Elephas maximus indicus: one gene and its partners. The protein of the gene in region 2 binds, or shares a complex with, the protein of the main gene of each other region. Links are inferred from orthologs where the notes say so. Each region holds a gene or a part of one and is shown on either strand. Other genes may lie near its edges.

The links. The genes of interacting proteins can lie anywhere in the genome.
Region 1: the proteins of ELMO1 (region 2) and RHOG are in contact, whole or in part, in a crystal structure (PDB 7Y4A), measured with the Homo sapiens proteins. The link is inferred for Elephas maximus indicus from reciprocal best matches to the Homo sapiens genes ELMO1 and RHOG. Residues at the interface, in NP_001193409.1 of Homo sapiens: Lys9, Val10, Ala11, Glu13, Tyr18, Pro19, Leu21, Met22, Ala54, Asn71, Gly72, Ile74; in NP_001656.2 of Homo sapiens: Val36, Phe37, Asp38, Trp56, Tyr64, Arg66, Leu67, Leu70, Ser71, Pro73, Gln74.
Region 3: the proteins of ELMO1 (region 2) and DOCK5 are in contact, whole or in part, in a cryo-EM structure (PDB 8JHK), measured with the Homo sapiens proteins. The link is inferred for Elephas maximus indicus from reciprocal best matches to the Homo sapiens genes ELMO1 and DOCK5. Residues at the interface, in NP_001193409.1 of Homo sapiens: Ile7, Val8, Lys9, Ala11, Tyr18, Pro19, Leu21, Glu23, Glu36, Asp39, Gly40, Ser42, Asn71, Gly72, Gln392, Asp393, Leu400, Glu401, Lys468, Arg531, Glu535, Leu536, Lys539, Leu547, Gln550, Gln551, Asn554, Arg555, Asn582, Thr688; in NP_079216.4 of Homo sapiens: Met1, Ala2, Arg3, Trp4, Val14, Ala15, Ile16, Tyr17, Asn18, Ser22, Gln23, Gln30, Ile31, Gly32, Asp33, Thr34, Glu39, Tyr41, Gly43, Trp44, Arg46, Tyr48, Lys56, Ile58, Pro60, Glu61, Thr62, Tyr63, His65, Leu66.

The regions. Positions count from the first base shown.
Region 1 is NC_064825.1:53,151,308-53,156,406, reverse strand, and holds the start of RHOG (rho-related GTP-binding protein RhoG), read left to right. Parts: upstream 1-1,489; 5' UTR 1,490-1,593; intron 1,594-5,099.
Region 2 is NC_064826.1:99,220,668-99,225,766, forward strand, and holds the start of ELMO1 (engulfment and cell motility protein 1), read right to left. Parts: upstream 2,933-5,099; 5' UTR 2,551-2,932; exon of another isoform or gene 2,368-2,550; intron 1-2,367. UniProt on the Homo sapiens protein: Involved in cytoskeletal rearrangements required for phagocytosis of apoptotic cells and cell motility. Acts in association with DOCK1 and CRK. Was initially proposed to be required in complex with DOCK1 to activate Rac Rho small GTPases.
Region 3 is NC_064840.1:48,551,983-48,557,081, reverse strand, and holds the start of DOCK5 (dedicator of cytokinesis protein 5), read left to right. Parts: upstream 1-1,972; 5' UTR 1,973-2,190; coding exon 2,191-2,233; intron 2,234-5,099. UniProt on the Homo sapiens protein: Guanine nucleotide exchange factor (GEF) for Rho and Rac. GEF proteins activate small GTPases by exchanging bound GDP for free GTP. Along with DOCK1, mediates CRK/CRKL regulation of epithelial and endothelial cell spreading and migration on type IV collagen.

The DNA.
Region 1 (5,099 bases), on a different chromosome or scaffold from region 2:
CAAGGAACCAAATCCCATGAGGTGTTTGGTTGTACACAAACTCAGCAGCTGCTTTTTTTTTTTGTCATTGTCATCATTAGAAAATTTTGAATTACAAATGTGGCTTGCATTCTATTTCTTTTGGACAGCACTGGGAGAGTCAAACGCATGGCAGGGGTGGTTGGGGTATGTGTGTGCTGGAGGGAGGAAAGATGAAGCCAGGCAGGGAGTAGTTTAGTACAGCCAGATTGTGAAAGAATAAGCCGATCTCCCCTGGCCGACTACACAGAAAAGAAGTCAGAGGGAACAGAATGCGCAAAGATCCAAAGATGTGGGCAAGCCCGCTGTGTTTTGAGAACTCATAGTATGACATAAAAAGAAAAAATAAAGAAGCATTTATTGAGTGTTTACTTTGAGCCAGGCACTGACAGTAGGCCTTTTACATCTATTATTTTATCTTTACAACTAACGGGCGAAGGGGACCGTATTCTATTTTACCAAAGAAAGAACTGAGGCTCAGAAAGGTCGAGCTATTTATTCCCGGAGCTCACCCTTTTTTATGTGGAAAACCTCTTGAAGACAGGGCGCCTCTACGGTCTTAAACGCCTGTGAGTTTCTAGAGCACCCAGCATGGGGTTCTGCACGTGGTTGGCGCTGGAAAGTTTGATTTGAACCAAGAATATCAGCTCCAAAGTCAGAGTTCCGTGCAAGGCGTCGGAGCAAAAACACCAGAGGGCGCCCACGAGTCCGCCAGTCCCCCGGGCCCGGACCCCGACCTCCGGCCGCGACCCCGCGGCCTGGGTGCGGCCCTTCAGCCTCTAGCAGCTGCGCGCCCCGGCGGGAAGATGGAGCGCGGGGAGCCCCACGTCCTCTGCCCGCCCCGCCCCCTCCCCAGGGCCCGGCTGAGCCACCGGGTGCGGAACGACGACACGACATCCTGTTTTTGGGCCCGCGGCTCCGCCTGCGCCTCTGCTGATCTTGTCTTTCCCCGTGTGCTGACGCCAGCTCCCCTTCCCCCAGTCTCCGCAACCCCCCCCCACAAAGGGTCTGGGGCCTTCCCACTACTGAATCATCACCACCCCGCAATCCCCCGGGGCTCGGGGCAAAGGTGGGGACTGCCCCAGCGTAACCTATTCTGCCCATTCCCCAGCTGCGGCCATTGCCCGGTCCCTGGGTTTGGCAGAAGTCACCAGGCCTAGGGGCGCCTTTTCTCAGCATCTTCCCGCAACGGGTGGAAGGGACGAGATACAGGCGTGGGGGACAAATGCCTAGCGCCTAGGCTTAGGCCTCTGATGGGACCGGAGCCAAGGAGGAGGCTAGAAGGCCTGACCTTGGCAGGCTTGACTTAAAAGACTCCGGCCAGTGGGCTGAAGGCGGGGAGCCTCGGACCGGGGCGGGGGCGAGGCCGTGGGTGGGGGGCAAGGCTGGGAGAGGGTGAGGCGGTGAGGGCGGGTCGCGGACTTCCTGGTCGTGCCCCGCGCTCCGCCCCCGCGCCCCGCCCCGCCGGCTGGCCCGCCCCCCCCACTTCCTCCGGCCTCCCGCTCTCACTTCCTTCTTGAGCCCGGAGCCGCTGCCGCCGCCTCCCCAGCTCCCCCGCGGTGGGGAGGGCAACAGGTAAGGCTGGGCCCGGGCCGGCGGACTGGGGGACCGGGGGAGGGGAGCCCGGCCAGCGCGGGACGGGGCGCAGGCGCCGGCCCAGGAAGTTTGCTTGCGGGAGGCCGCGGGCGGGAGGTTCTTGGTTCGCTCCAAGTTGGGCGGGCGCGGCCGGTCGGGCGGGGCGGAGACCGGGCCACTGCGAGCCAGCGGCGGCTCGGTCAGAGTGGATTCCCGGCAGCTGTACCGGCTCTCGGGAGCCGGGAGAACCCCCTTAGGCCAGCGTGTCTCTGGCTCAGGGAGGACAGCCTCTGAAGTGGAAGTGCTCAGAGCTAGGATGTGGAACTCAGAGGTGGGGGTGCCCACAGAAGTTGTCGGTGGAGGGCGGTGACCAAGTGTGTGAGGGGAGAGAGTCTCGGGCAATTGTGACATTTGTGAGGTTGAGAGGGGGTAGGTGTCTGGGGCCTGCGAACCCTGGAGACTGCACAGAAAGAGGTCCCGCCCTGGGAGAACGAGGTCACCCCATACCCACACTCTGCAACCAAAAGGACCCGGAGGGAACCCCGCCGACCCCAGTCCTTCTCTCTGTGTGTCTGTTTCTCTGAAGCCCAACCTCCCCATCCCTGGACCCAAGCAACAGGTATTCAGTGAGCAGACATCTGCAGTGCCCAGCTGACCAGTGTCTGGCCTTGCTCTGTGGTGGGTAAACTGAGGAAGGAAAAGGCCTGGTCTTGTCCTGTGGCTGGAGGTGAAAGGACTCTCATTCAGAGATACTGAGAGTTGGACAAGATGGCATAACTGAGATCAGGTCTGTTTTCAGGAAATGGAGAAAATAGGGCTTCTGAGAGGCATCAGGGTCTCTGGCCTTCTGGGAACAATTGGTAGCCATCTACTAGTCTTCCCCCCCCCGCCCCCGCCATTCTTAGTCCCTGAATTCTACCCACTTTCTCATTCTGTCTCCCTCCATCCCTCCTTTAGTCTCCACCCACAAACTGGCCATCACTATCTCCTCTCCTCCCCTCTCCTTCTGTCTTCTTTCCCCCGATCACAGCCCTGACCTCTCCTTAACTACTCTAACCTGCTGTCCATCTCAGTCTCCTGCTGCATCCCCCCCCTCCTTTCGCTATCCGGCTTCTGGCTCCCCACCATCTTGTTCCTTCCATCTCCTCTCATTCTCATAATCTCTCAGTTTGTCACCCTCTCTCTGTCACCTTCCCTTTCACCCACTTCTCTCCAGCTTTGGGGTCAGGATCTACTGTAGAAGACTTGGTGAGTTTGAGAGCCTTTTTGAACCTCCCAGAGACATGCTGCAACCTCTCGGTGATGGAGATGATTAAAGGGCTGGAAAATGTCTGTGTGTGTGTGTGTGTGTGCGCACATGTGCAAGTGTCTCTGTGTCCATATCTTTAACTGGAGACAGCCAAATAACTGCTCTCAGCCTTGAGAGGCCCCAGAGCAGGGGAAGCCAGCAGAATGAAGGGAACCTGCAGTGGATGAGTTGTGGTTAGGCAGGAGGAAGCAGTCCATAGCAGTCAGGGTACAGTAACACAGGAATAAGACTGGTGAGAGAGGCCACAGGAAATCAGAGTCGTCCAGACCCTTGACTGCTTAACCAAGAAGCCAGTCCTGAAGGCTGGGGGACAGTGAGTGGCCTTAGGAGATGAGTCCCTGGCTTCAGCACCTCCTGGTGGGAAGAATAGGATCAGGCCACCTAGGTGCAGTGGAAGAGAGCAAAGGCAGCTGATTTAACTTCAGTCTTAGGTGTTTTCATTTCAGTTCAGGAGAAGAAGATGGGTATGAGGCAAAAGTGTCTGCCCCTCTTCCCTCCTACCTTCCAGAGGCCATCCAGACTGGGCCTTGGTGACCGGGAAGCCCTCTGGAGTTCAGCTCTTGATGCCTTTAGCCATTCTTAATATTCCCTCTATCACCTAGGACCCTACTCCCTCTCTTTTGTGAATTTCTTCCAAGTCTAATTTTAGCCTAGCCTGGCTCTATAAGCTCTTTTTGTTTCCATTCTAGAGCTCCTTTCTCAGGCCTTTGGGATGTATGCTAAGGGTTCCTGCTTCTCTCAAGCTCCTCCAGTCTGCTCTACTCCTATCCGCTAGAAAAAAGAGAAGTAGAGGGGAGCAGGCACTACTTTTTTGGGTTCCCAGGCACAGATAAATGTAAGGCTCTCCCCATTCCTTATCCCATTCTCTTCCCTTCTCACAGTTGTCCCTTTCCCATGAGTTGTTCCTTCTTCCAGTCCTGCTCTTCCACCTACCTGTCTCTCCTACTCTCATTTCTGGGAGGTGCAGGGAGTTTGGCCCCAGGAGGAAATCCCAGGGAGGGGCTAGCCTTGCATAAAATTCCAGCCCTGGGAAGGATGTGCATGAAAGACACTTTCTCGACATCAGGATTCAGTTTAAAAAAAAAAAACTACCCAAGAGTTGTGACACACACGAGTTCAGCATTTTACATAATTGAGCAACTCATGGGACTCTGAGGGTGAAGATAGAATGGATGAGTTCTCCCAGTCAAGATCTGGCAGTACTAGAGGATTGTTAATTGCAAGAAAATCATTACTGGAAAAATACAACAGGGATGAGGAGAATCTAATTGGGAAAATATCATGGGGGAGTCGGGGGGAGCGTTGCCTACAACCTAGGAGATAGCTGTTGAGGTCTTGACTAAAGAAATACTGTCAAGGTCATGGCATGAAAAGAAATGGCTGATGTGAAGTTGTTACAGATCCTGATTGGGAATCTGGGACAACAGGGGTTGCTTCTGGCAAAGTGTTAGGGCAGAAGCGGCTGGTGTAAACTTTTAGGGGCTTATGAGCCAGAAGGTATAAGAGGTTGTAGTAGCTGGGGTACTGGGAAGCAGAGGGAACCCTGACAGTGAATTCAGCTTAATGAGGTAGGAACAACTCCAAAAAGGAGGGTGAGAATGGTTGCACATCTCAAGGAATGTAATCAGTGTCATTAAATAGAAGCTGTTGAATTGGTATATGTTTTGCTGTGTATATTCTCAACAACAGCAATGAAATAGAATTTAAAAAAGAAAACCCCATGGAGCACAGTTCCGCTTTGACACACATGGGGTCACCATGAGTTGGAATTAACTGAATGGCGACTAGTTTTTTTTTTGAACATTTTATTGTAGTTTGGGTGAGAGTTTACAAAGGAAATTAGTTTCCCATTCAACAGTTTTTACACGTTTTGTGACATTAATTGCAATCCCCACTTTACCCGCTTCCACCCTGAGTTCCCCGTTTGCATTTACCCATCTTTCCTGCCCCTTCCTACCTTCTGAACTTTGTGTTTGGGCAAATGCTGCCCTTTTGGTCTGGTGTGGTTGATTGTTCTGAGGAGCATGTTCCTCACAAGCGTTATTATTCATTTTATAGGCCTGTATATTGAGTGGGTTCTGTTCCAGGTTTGAAGGGTGTCTTAGAGCCAGTCTCAGGGCTTCTCCCAGTCTCTATCAGACTAGTAAGTCTGGCCTTTTTATGATTTTGAATTTTGTTCTACATTTTTCTCCCACTC
Region 2 (5,099 bases):
TCTCATTCGGTCAATCAATAAATACTTACTGAGTGCCTACCACATGCTGGGGGTCACTCTAGGTTCTGGAGCTGCAAACAAGACAAGGTCCCTATCCTCATGGTGCTTACATTCTAGTGGAGGAAACAGAAAACAATCAAATGAACAAACAAATGTAAGTCAGGGGAAAATAAGTGCTAAGATGGAAAATAAAGTAAGGGGATGAGGAATTAATTGCCTGGTTGCCATTCTATATAAGATAGCCAGGAAAGGCCTCCTGATAAGTTGACTAAGCAAAGACCTGGAGGAAGCAAAGGAGGAGGGGGGATTTCCTCATACAGAAGCAACAGCATGTGCAAAGGCCCTGGGGACAGAACTCAGCAAAAAAAAAATAAGGTCAGAGTGTCTGCAATTAACAAGGGCAGAGAGATGACCTGGGAATGACAGTGGGGTGGGGAGGGTATGGTCATCATTAGTATCACTCATCCATTACCCCAGTGACTGACTGTTCCAGGTCCTGGGTTTACCTAGACTCAGCCTGGACTTGCCTCCCAGCCTGCCCCTCTCTGTAGAACTATCAAGCATCTTGTTCCCCAGTTCCCCCGCTGGGGTGTTCCAGCACTCCAGGTCATTCCCTCCCAATCTCCCAAAGGGACAACCAGTTCATCTGATTAACAAAGAAATTGAGCAATAATTGTAGTAGGAAAGAAGGCAACATGCACATTTAACCAGAGCCATCAAGAGATAGGAAAGACATCATGAAGAGCAGAGAGTCAAAAGGTCGGCTATCAAAAAATGTCTATTTGCCAGCTGGGTATCTTGCCTCCTACTTCTTTGGACCTCAGCCCCTCATCTGTAAATTGGGAGACTACAATCCATGAAACAACCTTGAGAAGTAGGTATGGAGGTGAGATATTAAGAAAAGCCCTGGCCAGAGAAGGCCCTTCATAGATGCTGCCAGCCTGCCTTTGCAATTTAAAAATTACTGTGACAGGGACTCCCAAAGTTGCACTCAAAGATCTGGTATATAAATGCATGCCATTACTTATATTTTACAGAATAAGGTAAAACAAAACAAAATCTCAAAAATTCTTCCACTGCCTCATCTCACTCCAAATTGGGGGCAGACAGCCTTTGCCTCCAGAGGCACAAACCCCTGTCTGAAGCTCCCTGAAATCTTAGCACATAATTCATGACCAGAAGTATGATAAGGTCGGTGGTCCAGTACACAGGGCATCACAACATATGCTTCCTGTGTCTCAGGAGCTGTCCAGAGGCCCCCCAGAGCTGGGTCACCACAGGGGGCCAAATCCTGCTGCTTCAGGCCACTGCAGCTCAAGCCACCAACAACCGCTGCCCAGAGCTGCCAACTTCAAAGCGTCCACAAGCGGGAGATGGTCATTCGGCGGGGTCACACACGTACAGGCACAGACACACACACACACACACACACACACACACACACGCTCGCCGCCCTCGCGCGCGCCCGCAGCACAACACAGACTTCCCAACCACGAACACACGCGCGCACCCCCAGGCCAACTGAGTTCTGTATTTCCTCTTCCTCTTCCTCAAACCTACTCAGGCAGTCGCGGCCGCCCCTCTCCACTCCTATTCCAGGGCTCCCAGCGCTCCGCCGCCCCCTGTCTCCCAAGGCGCGCCCGGTGCGACCCCTCTCCAAAGCCAGGATTTCTCATCGAAGGCCCCCACATCGCCTTCTCTGGTCCCCGTGGAGACCTCAGAGTGTCCCCGGGGCAAGTATTTACTAGCAATCGCCCTAGGGCTCGCAACTGCCTTAACAGCCCCCTCCGCCCCTCCATTCCCTCTATCCCAACACCGCCCCCTCCCAGGGGCGCGCTCGCCGGGGGATTCCCTCCCATCTGCGAGCGCCGGAGAAAAACCAGGAGTCCGAGCCTCCAGCCCCACCTCCAGCAGTCTCCCGGGTCTCCAGTCCCAGGAATCTTTACTCCAAGCCCCCTGGCCCCGACACCCCTGCGCCAGTAGCGCAACCCGCCGGCGCCCCCCTCTAGCCTGCCCTGCTCGAAACGTCTCCGCGGATTCTTGGGCCCCGGGCCCTGCGCTCCATCCCGGGCGCTCCACCTCCGGAGCCCTCTCCCTCCGTGCCCACTCCCACACCAGCCGCCCTCAGCTGCCCAGACTTCCCCAATTGCGGAGCGATCCGGCTCTCCCGCAGCCCTCACCCCGCGGTGCGTGGCGGCCACCCCCGCCCGAGCCGCGGCGCCCCTAGAGAGGAAACAAAAGTGTCTCGGCGGCGCCCAGAGTCCCCGGAGTAGGACGCCTCCTCCCTGCCCTAGCCCCTGCCCCCTCCCCGGCTGCTCTGAGGTCAACGAGTCGGTGCTCGGCGCCAGCCCAGGAAACTTTACGAACCTGCCCGGGGTCTCAGGACAGCTGTGGCGGCGGCGAGGGCTTCCAACGACGAGAGCCCTGGCGACCCGCGAAGGGGGGCCGGAGACTCTGACGCCCAGCTCGGGGCCGCGGTGTGTGGGTGGCTCTGTCTCTATCCCGTGCCCATTCTCGCCCGCTCTCGCTCGCTCGAGCACACGCACTTACACTCCGGGTCGGCCGGCTGCTGTGCCGCCGGCTGCCGCTGCTCTCACTTCCTCTTCCTTCCTCCTGGTGGCCAGAGACACATTTTGCATCTGCAAGGCATCCGGACATCAGCTACGAACTCTCTTCCCGAGCGGACGCTGCGGAGTTGCCGCCGCCACCGCCGCCGGCACTGGCACCTGCCCGCGCTCTGGTGCTTGCCCTCTGCACTTTTCCTGGGGTGGTGCCCACGACTTTTAGAAGTCCCCTTACTTAAAAAGAGGAAAATGTCAAACACCGTGCGTGGCTCAGATCTGCTATAAATAATACGTGTGCAGAGCATGATTCTCAGATGAGCTCACACACCGACTTTTGCAGGCACTAATTAACTCCGTCACCTTCAAAGCGCCACCTCCGGGAGGCCCAGTACGCGCGGCATCTTTTAATCTGTTTTCATTTTTGGCAACTGGTTTTGGGGATTTAAGGGGGAACTTCGCTGGGCCGTTTCAAAGCTACTTTAAAAGGGACTGCTGTGTCTTATTGCACGCCATGTCTCTACCCTTGGAGAGCGTGGCAAAAAACAACAGAACAAACAGAACATTTCCTTCCTCCCTCTCCCCGGTCACCCATCCATACCGACTCTGTACTTGAAACTAAAGATTTAGTTCTAATCAATTAAGCCAGGGGCTCCCTAGTTTTGCATAACTGCATAAAATCCAGGCTTTCTACCCCAATGTGGTATTTAAGACACATTATTTAATTCATGCAACCTACTTCAGTCATGTTCAAAGCAAAATCAAGGACCTTAACTCCCAGCATAGCTGGCAGGAGGGAAATGACAGTTGTTGGAAGACTGAAAGAAACACCTGTCCTCACAGAATTCAGAAATACCTACATTGGCTTTCCCAGAAAAGGCGAAGGCAGTTGCTTTGCTCTCCTTTCTGACTGACAAGGGAACAAGTTGCCCCTAGGAAGGTTCCAGAATCTAAGATGGAGAGCGCTCCCCTTTAAGAATCAGCCTCTGTCCCCCAAGAAATTTAATAGTTAACCCTGTGCTGGCTGTCTACTAGAAGCCAGGAACTACATGTGACTGTGGGGCACTTGAAACATGGCTAGTTCTGAGATGCTCTTTAAGGGTAAACCGCACACAGGACTTAGTGTGAAAAAATCAAGTGTAAAACAGCTGGCCAATAATTTTTATATTGATTGCATGTTGAAATAATTTTTTAGATGTATTGAGTTAATATCTTATATGTTTTTGATAGTTCCTGTTGATTCTGATTCATGATGACCCTATGTGTGCAGGCTAGAATTGCTTCACAGGGTTTCAAGGCTGTGTCCTTTTGGAAGCAAATCACCAACCCTGTCTCCTATATATACGTATATAGTCTCCAGGTAGTGATGAACCCCTTATTAAATGCACAAACCCTGGGAGGCAGTATTAATAGCAAGAAAACCTGGGTCTAGATGGTTACAAGTCAGTGATTTAAAGCATGGTGACTCTTGGAAAGTAACTTCTCTTTTTCCTCATCTGTAAAATGTCAGTGATGTAATAACAACAGCCAACAAGACAACTGTTAAATGAGATGATTTTTAATAAGCAGTCGGTAAATATAGCCTTGACTAATGAAGCAGAGGTGGGAAACCACCGGATGGCGGCTGGGCGGAGCTAACCCACCATTTCTCCTCCCAGTGTGATTGCGCCAACCCTATGACGCCCTGAAGAAGAGCCCGCTCCTAGTCTGTTTCCTCCCAGTATGTAAACCCTTGTGCCTGCCAATCAAAGGGCCATCTTGGCGACGCAGGTCCCAGGGAGCTCCTTTGCTTGGCCAACCAAAAAAAGTTTTTCTTCTTTCACTTTCGCCTGACTCCTGCCTAAGTGTCAGGGCCATCGAGACCCGGAGGTCCGGTAATAAAACTGTGAGACAGTTGTAGTTAGTTATAAGTGTGAATTTGATCCACGACTTTCCAGCTAAGGCAGAAAAGGTCTTAGTGAGACATGGCGAGCACTCAGCAATGATACCTGTCATATCTGTCCCGAAGAGATACGCAACTCTATGTCCTATCTTTGCACTGCAATTAAAGTGCAATCACCTCCCTGTAACCTTCGACCGAGCTCTACCCTCTGAAGTCCACATGGAGTAAGTCACATCCTTCCTCCATGTGATGACCTTTGAGATCCTTGAAGATAGCCCTCACATTCTACCTAAACATTCTCTTCTAAGAGTTACACATCCGCAGTTACTCCACCTCCTCCTCCTTAAAGATAGTACCAAATCTCCCTCATCTTAGCTATCCTGAGGAATGCCTGTCTCTGCCTTTTTCATAAAAAAAAAAAAACAAAATAAAATTAGCTGTCATATAGATTAATTAGCCAATTAACCACTAACAAACACAATTCAGCCCGAGGTCTTGTCAAATTTTTTCCCCCAAATACATCTTAGTGTTGATCCAAGTATAAGGGGAAGACTGGAAATTCTTTCTTATTCATTACTGCGAGGCCAAACCCATGCTTATGGAGTTAGTCTTTGAGACCAAAGCCTCTAGTCCAGCTTCTCCAAGTCTCTTTGGAT
Region 3 (5,099 bases), on a different chromosome or scaffold from region 2:
TCTCTCCCATGTTCTTCCCCTTACTCTGCTCTCACCACACCGAATCCCTGGCTATCTTTGGAAATTGCTGAACACGCATCAGGGCCTTTATATTTGTTATCCCCACTGTCCGTAATTCTTTCCCCTGAAGTCCTCACTTCTTCAGGTCTATACTTCAATGTCATCTTAGAGACGCCTTCCCAGATCACTCTATATAGGATAGCAGCACGCCCTACACATTCCATCTGCCTTGCTTTGGATTTTTCTCCATAGACCTTATCACTACCTGGTATATATTTGTTGTCTCACTCTTCAGTTCTAGAATGTAAGCTCTATGATGGCAGGGATTTTACTTTATTCACTGACGTACCCCCATTCTTAAAACAATGCCTGGTATCTAGCAGGCACTTAATAAACATTAGTGGAAGGGACGAATGAAGAAATGAATTCTTTAACCTGGGAAATCAGGTTACTCATGTTATCATTGATAGAGGAAAAGAAATTTTATTTTCAGGGAGATGGAATACCTTTTGGATGTCAAGCCTGAATGACAGGGGAATCTCTTATATTAAGTTTCTGATTCTATTTTGTGAATAAATACTTGTTGGGTGATGCAGAAGAAAGTAAGCCCTGAGAACTACCCACCTTAAACAGGGTTTTTTTTTTAGACCTGGCTTTGCAGAAAGTTATCAGAATTATAATGCACTTATTCTTCAAACAAGTTTTTACTATATTTCGCTGCATGATTATTTTATCTTTCTTTCCTTTCATGCTCAAACACGGAAGAAAACCTTCACAGACTGCAAGGGTAATGCAATTTCTTTCAAAAGGCATTTTCTCAGATGGTGAACATAATTAAGCTTGTCATTTACTCTGTTTGAGATTATACTTCCACCGCGTGAGATAGCAAGAAGCCCCCTGAACTCCTGTGCCTTCATTTGCTGAAGTCTCTCCCAGTGAGTTTCAAAAAGGGGAGTTCCAGAGAGGGCTCCAATTGGAACCCGAGGCAGTTCAAATGCGCAGTCCCAGTTTTCGATTTCTTGTCAATACAGTCAGTGAACCAGAAAAAGACATCAATGTGCCCGGTCCCTTTCTCCGCAGGGATGCTCTCTGGACTGCTGGCTCCCAGGAAAAGGGAGTCTTGGGGCAGATCCTTTTTTCCCTGAGCAAGAGTGAATGAATTTCTTCAGCTGGAGAGGTATTCCGGCGTTTTACGGGATACAGGACTTAGAAACTACGGCTTTCTAAATAATTCCCCCACAGAGGACCCATCAGGAAACTATTTGATACTAATGAGGAGCCCGTCTCCCTCGCACCAGCTCTCTACTTACCAGAAGACAAATGTCCCAGCTTTGAGAGGCTATAAACGGTGGCCACAGGAGATAATGTCTGCCCCGGAGTCCGGCTGGCTTCCGGCTCGCGTGGTGTCTGTTAAAGCTCTAGGGGATGAACGCAGTAGTCAACTGCTCATTTATTCAACAAATATTTATTGAGCGCCGGGCAAGTGCCAAGCGCCAAGCACTGGGGAGTTCCCTCCGGGGCGAGACACAACCTCTATTAATTCATTCTGTTCCCCGCCCCCGCCCGCCCCAAAAGGCTCCGGAGCGCACAGTGGGCGCAGACTCCCACTCCTCGCCCACCGGTGCCCCGCAGCCCGGCCCGAGTGTGCTGGGCGCCTCCAGCGGGGAACTCGCCCCACCGGATCCAGTCTCTTGGGTTTAATCCGGTGTGGGGAAGGCGGGGGGAAAAAAAAAAAAAGAAAAAAGCCATACCCCAGAGTCAGCCCTGGGAAACTGCTCCCAGAAAGCGCGCAGGGCCGAACGAGCACGCCCGGCGTGGGCGAGCCGGGAGTCCCTGAGCCGGCGGGCAGGCTGCCTCGGGAGCTAAGGGCGCGGCGCGGGGTGGGGCGGCGGGCAGGAGGAGCCGGGGCGGTGCCTCGAGGGCGCAGGGCGGCGCGGCCGCCCGGCCCAGCAGGTGACCGCGGGCGGCGCGGGCGCGGGCGCGGGCCGGGTGGGACCGGCGGCGGAGCGGGTCCAGTCTCGGCGCGGGCGGCGCGCAGAGCCGCGGAAGACGGCTTGCAGGGGTCGCAGCGAAGTTTGACGGAACATGGCGGAAGAGCCCGGGGCGCGGAGCAGCGCGGGGCGGCGGCGGCCGGCGCCGGAGGAGCTGTAGCCGCCGCAACCGGTGCCGCCGCGGGGCGAGGTCGCCGCCATGGCCCGCTGGATCCCGACCAAGAGGCAGAAATACGGAGTTGGTGAGTGCTCGGCCTACCCCGCCCCCCGACCCGGCCAGCTTCGCAGGTCTGCAGCGGTCGCTGCAAAGTTCGCGGGGACTGGCCCTGCCCGCGGGCGAGTCGGGCGGTGGAGTCCGGCGATTTGCAGAGCGCGCCGCCGGCGCCGTGCCGGGCCCCGGGCTCGGGATCTGCGGCCCTCGCGGGTGCCTGCGGGGCTGAACTCGGGCTGCCGCCGTTACTGGGAGCGGGGCGGGCTCGGGGCCCTCTCCCGGGAGGGGTCAGTTGCCGCCCCGGTGGGGAAGTAACTCGGAGTTTTTGGAACCTGAGCGGCTAAATGTGCATTTGGGCTTCGGGACTGATAATCCGCTCCCAAATAAGATTTATCGTGTTGCATAGTAGACGCGTCAAAAGTGAGGGAACCCGCCTGCTATTCATTTGGGAAGCCCAGCTCTGTTGCTCCCCTCCTTCCGCCCATCCGTTTGGTTTCATTCAATGTTTGTAAGCAGCCGAGGTCCGCCGAATGGGAATGCTAGTCGTTTCCCAGTGCTTTCCGACTTCCTTCTTCATAGGTTCCTCTCGGAGGCCTCAAAGTGAGACTGGAGGATAGAAACACGCCTCCTCCCCTTCCCCCGCTTTTCCCTGGGACAGAGTGCTGAGCACTGGAATCTTGCTAACAGTCTGTAAGCTGAGTGGAAAACTGAATTTGTGGTTTGAAGCGATGAGAGGAAGTGTGTGGCTTGGGAAGGGGTGGCTGGCCTCTGGGGCCGTTTGTGCAGACACTCCTCCCCTAACGGAGCTTGTGTGGAGACGGTATAAAGTGGTCTTCAGAATCCTCTTTTTCATCGTGGGGTAAGATGAGGAAAGTTTATTCAGAAAACTCTGTGACAGGTCCGGAGCTAGGCACTTGGCATTCCTAATGGCGGTGCTGGAGAGCCCTAGCATGTGCGGAGGGATTCCTGTTGTGTTGGTTTGGCACAGGGACAAATGGCTTTGCAGGCTTCTGACGCAGGTGAAAAGCCATGCTCCTTCCCCTTTTTAAGTAGACCCGGTGGCGCAGCGGTTAAGCGTTGGGCTGGTAACCAAAAGATCAACAGTTGGAACCCACGAGTCGCTCCGCGGAAGAAAGTTGTGGCAGTGGGATTCTGCTTCCTTAAAGATTACACCCTTGGAAGCCCTATGGGACAGTTCTACCCTGTCGTATACCGTCGCAATGAGTCCAGTTGACTCGACGACGGGTTTGGTTTTTGGTTTTCCACCTTTTTTTTTTTTTTTTAAATCAAAGAGATGCTTTGTTGAGGTCTTGTGGGGGGAACTGTGCCATTAGCGGGGGAGATTGCAATGGCAGTGATAGAGGTCAGAGTGATTCCCTAATATAAACATAGCTGTGTATGTTGAGAATTTTATTACTTCCTCTCATGTTCATTCTTTTGGCCTATTTGTAATTTCTTTTACTTCATTCTGTCTCTAACCCCCATTTTTCCTGGAATATCTAGGGAGGAGCCCCTAAACCAATTCTGAGCTTTTCCACATCTAAGTTTATTTCAGAGATAACTCTTAAGATCTCTAGGTGATTTGAGCTCTGTAGCCATTAAAGGGAGCCCCTGGGTAGTGCCCATGGTTAGCTAGGCTACTAACTGAAAGGTTGGAGGTTCAAGTCCACCCAGAGTCTCCTCAGAAGAAAGGCCTGGCGATCTACTTCCAAAAAACCAGCCATTGAAAACTCTATGGAGCACAGTTTTACTCTGACACACATGGGGTCTCCCTGAGTCAGAAAACTGATAATCACTAAGTACGAATTGCAGAAAAGTTATCAAATCTAAGTTTTGTTTAACTGAATAAAAACTGTGTTCAAAAGTATTATGACTTGGGCACAATTAATGTAAATGTATCCCCAAAATGTGGTTGGTTGTATTGCCATAGTCATAGGAGCAAGTACGATAGTTTTTCTTTTTAACTTTTTTTTTTCCTTTCCTGGAGTTAGTTTTCCATGTTATTTATCATTAGTCAAGAAAAATATTTCAGTAGCCTTTTCAGGACATAGGTGGTAGCACAGTTGCCCCAGGATGTAATTTGGGACACATTTAGCAAAACATAAAGATTCTGATCCTTTACATTTGGTACAAGGGCCAACACTTAGGACAGATTAACTCAAGAGATAAATCTTCATTGTTTATTCCTAAAACACATGATTGTTCATATCACCTCTCTGCTCAGAAGCTTTCCATGCCCTACAGGGTAAAGTCTAAACTGAGCCCAAGTTCCAGTGTTCCAACAGGTCTGATTCAACATATCATCACCATCCTTATCTCCCATGGCTTCTTACGTTAAGCCTCCAATGCAGACAAACTGCTCTTCTCACTCTTGTGCAATACATCACGGAGAGTCCCTCCTTCAGGACTTTGCTCTGACAGTGCTTGTTCCCTGCCCAGAATGCCCTCCCACCTCTGCACCCCACAGTGCAGCCTTCCCATAGCGCTCAAATCTGTTCCCACTGCCTCCCCCAAATTTGCTGTCTGCCACAGCTTCCCAAACCTCCACACCTCTTCTTTACAATCCTGCGTTACTCCATACCTTATTTTGTGCTGATCCTCCTGTATTTGGGTTCTCAAAATCAGAAGGTGATGGTTGTGTCCCTGTCACTCAGGAGGTATACAGGGTGTATAGTGTACATTCAGTAACTGCTTGTCCTTGATGTTGGAGTGGCTTTTTAGAGTAGATGACATAATTTCTGTGGTGAATTAAATGCAGTTTTTCCCCCTCATTCACCCCGATATGAGTTTTATTTTGTTCAGCTAGATGGAGGAAGTGAGAGGCTCCAGCCTGTTTTTATCTCTACAAGTAAAAAATGAGATATTCTGCCTGAGAAAATAAGGACATGTGGAATAAA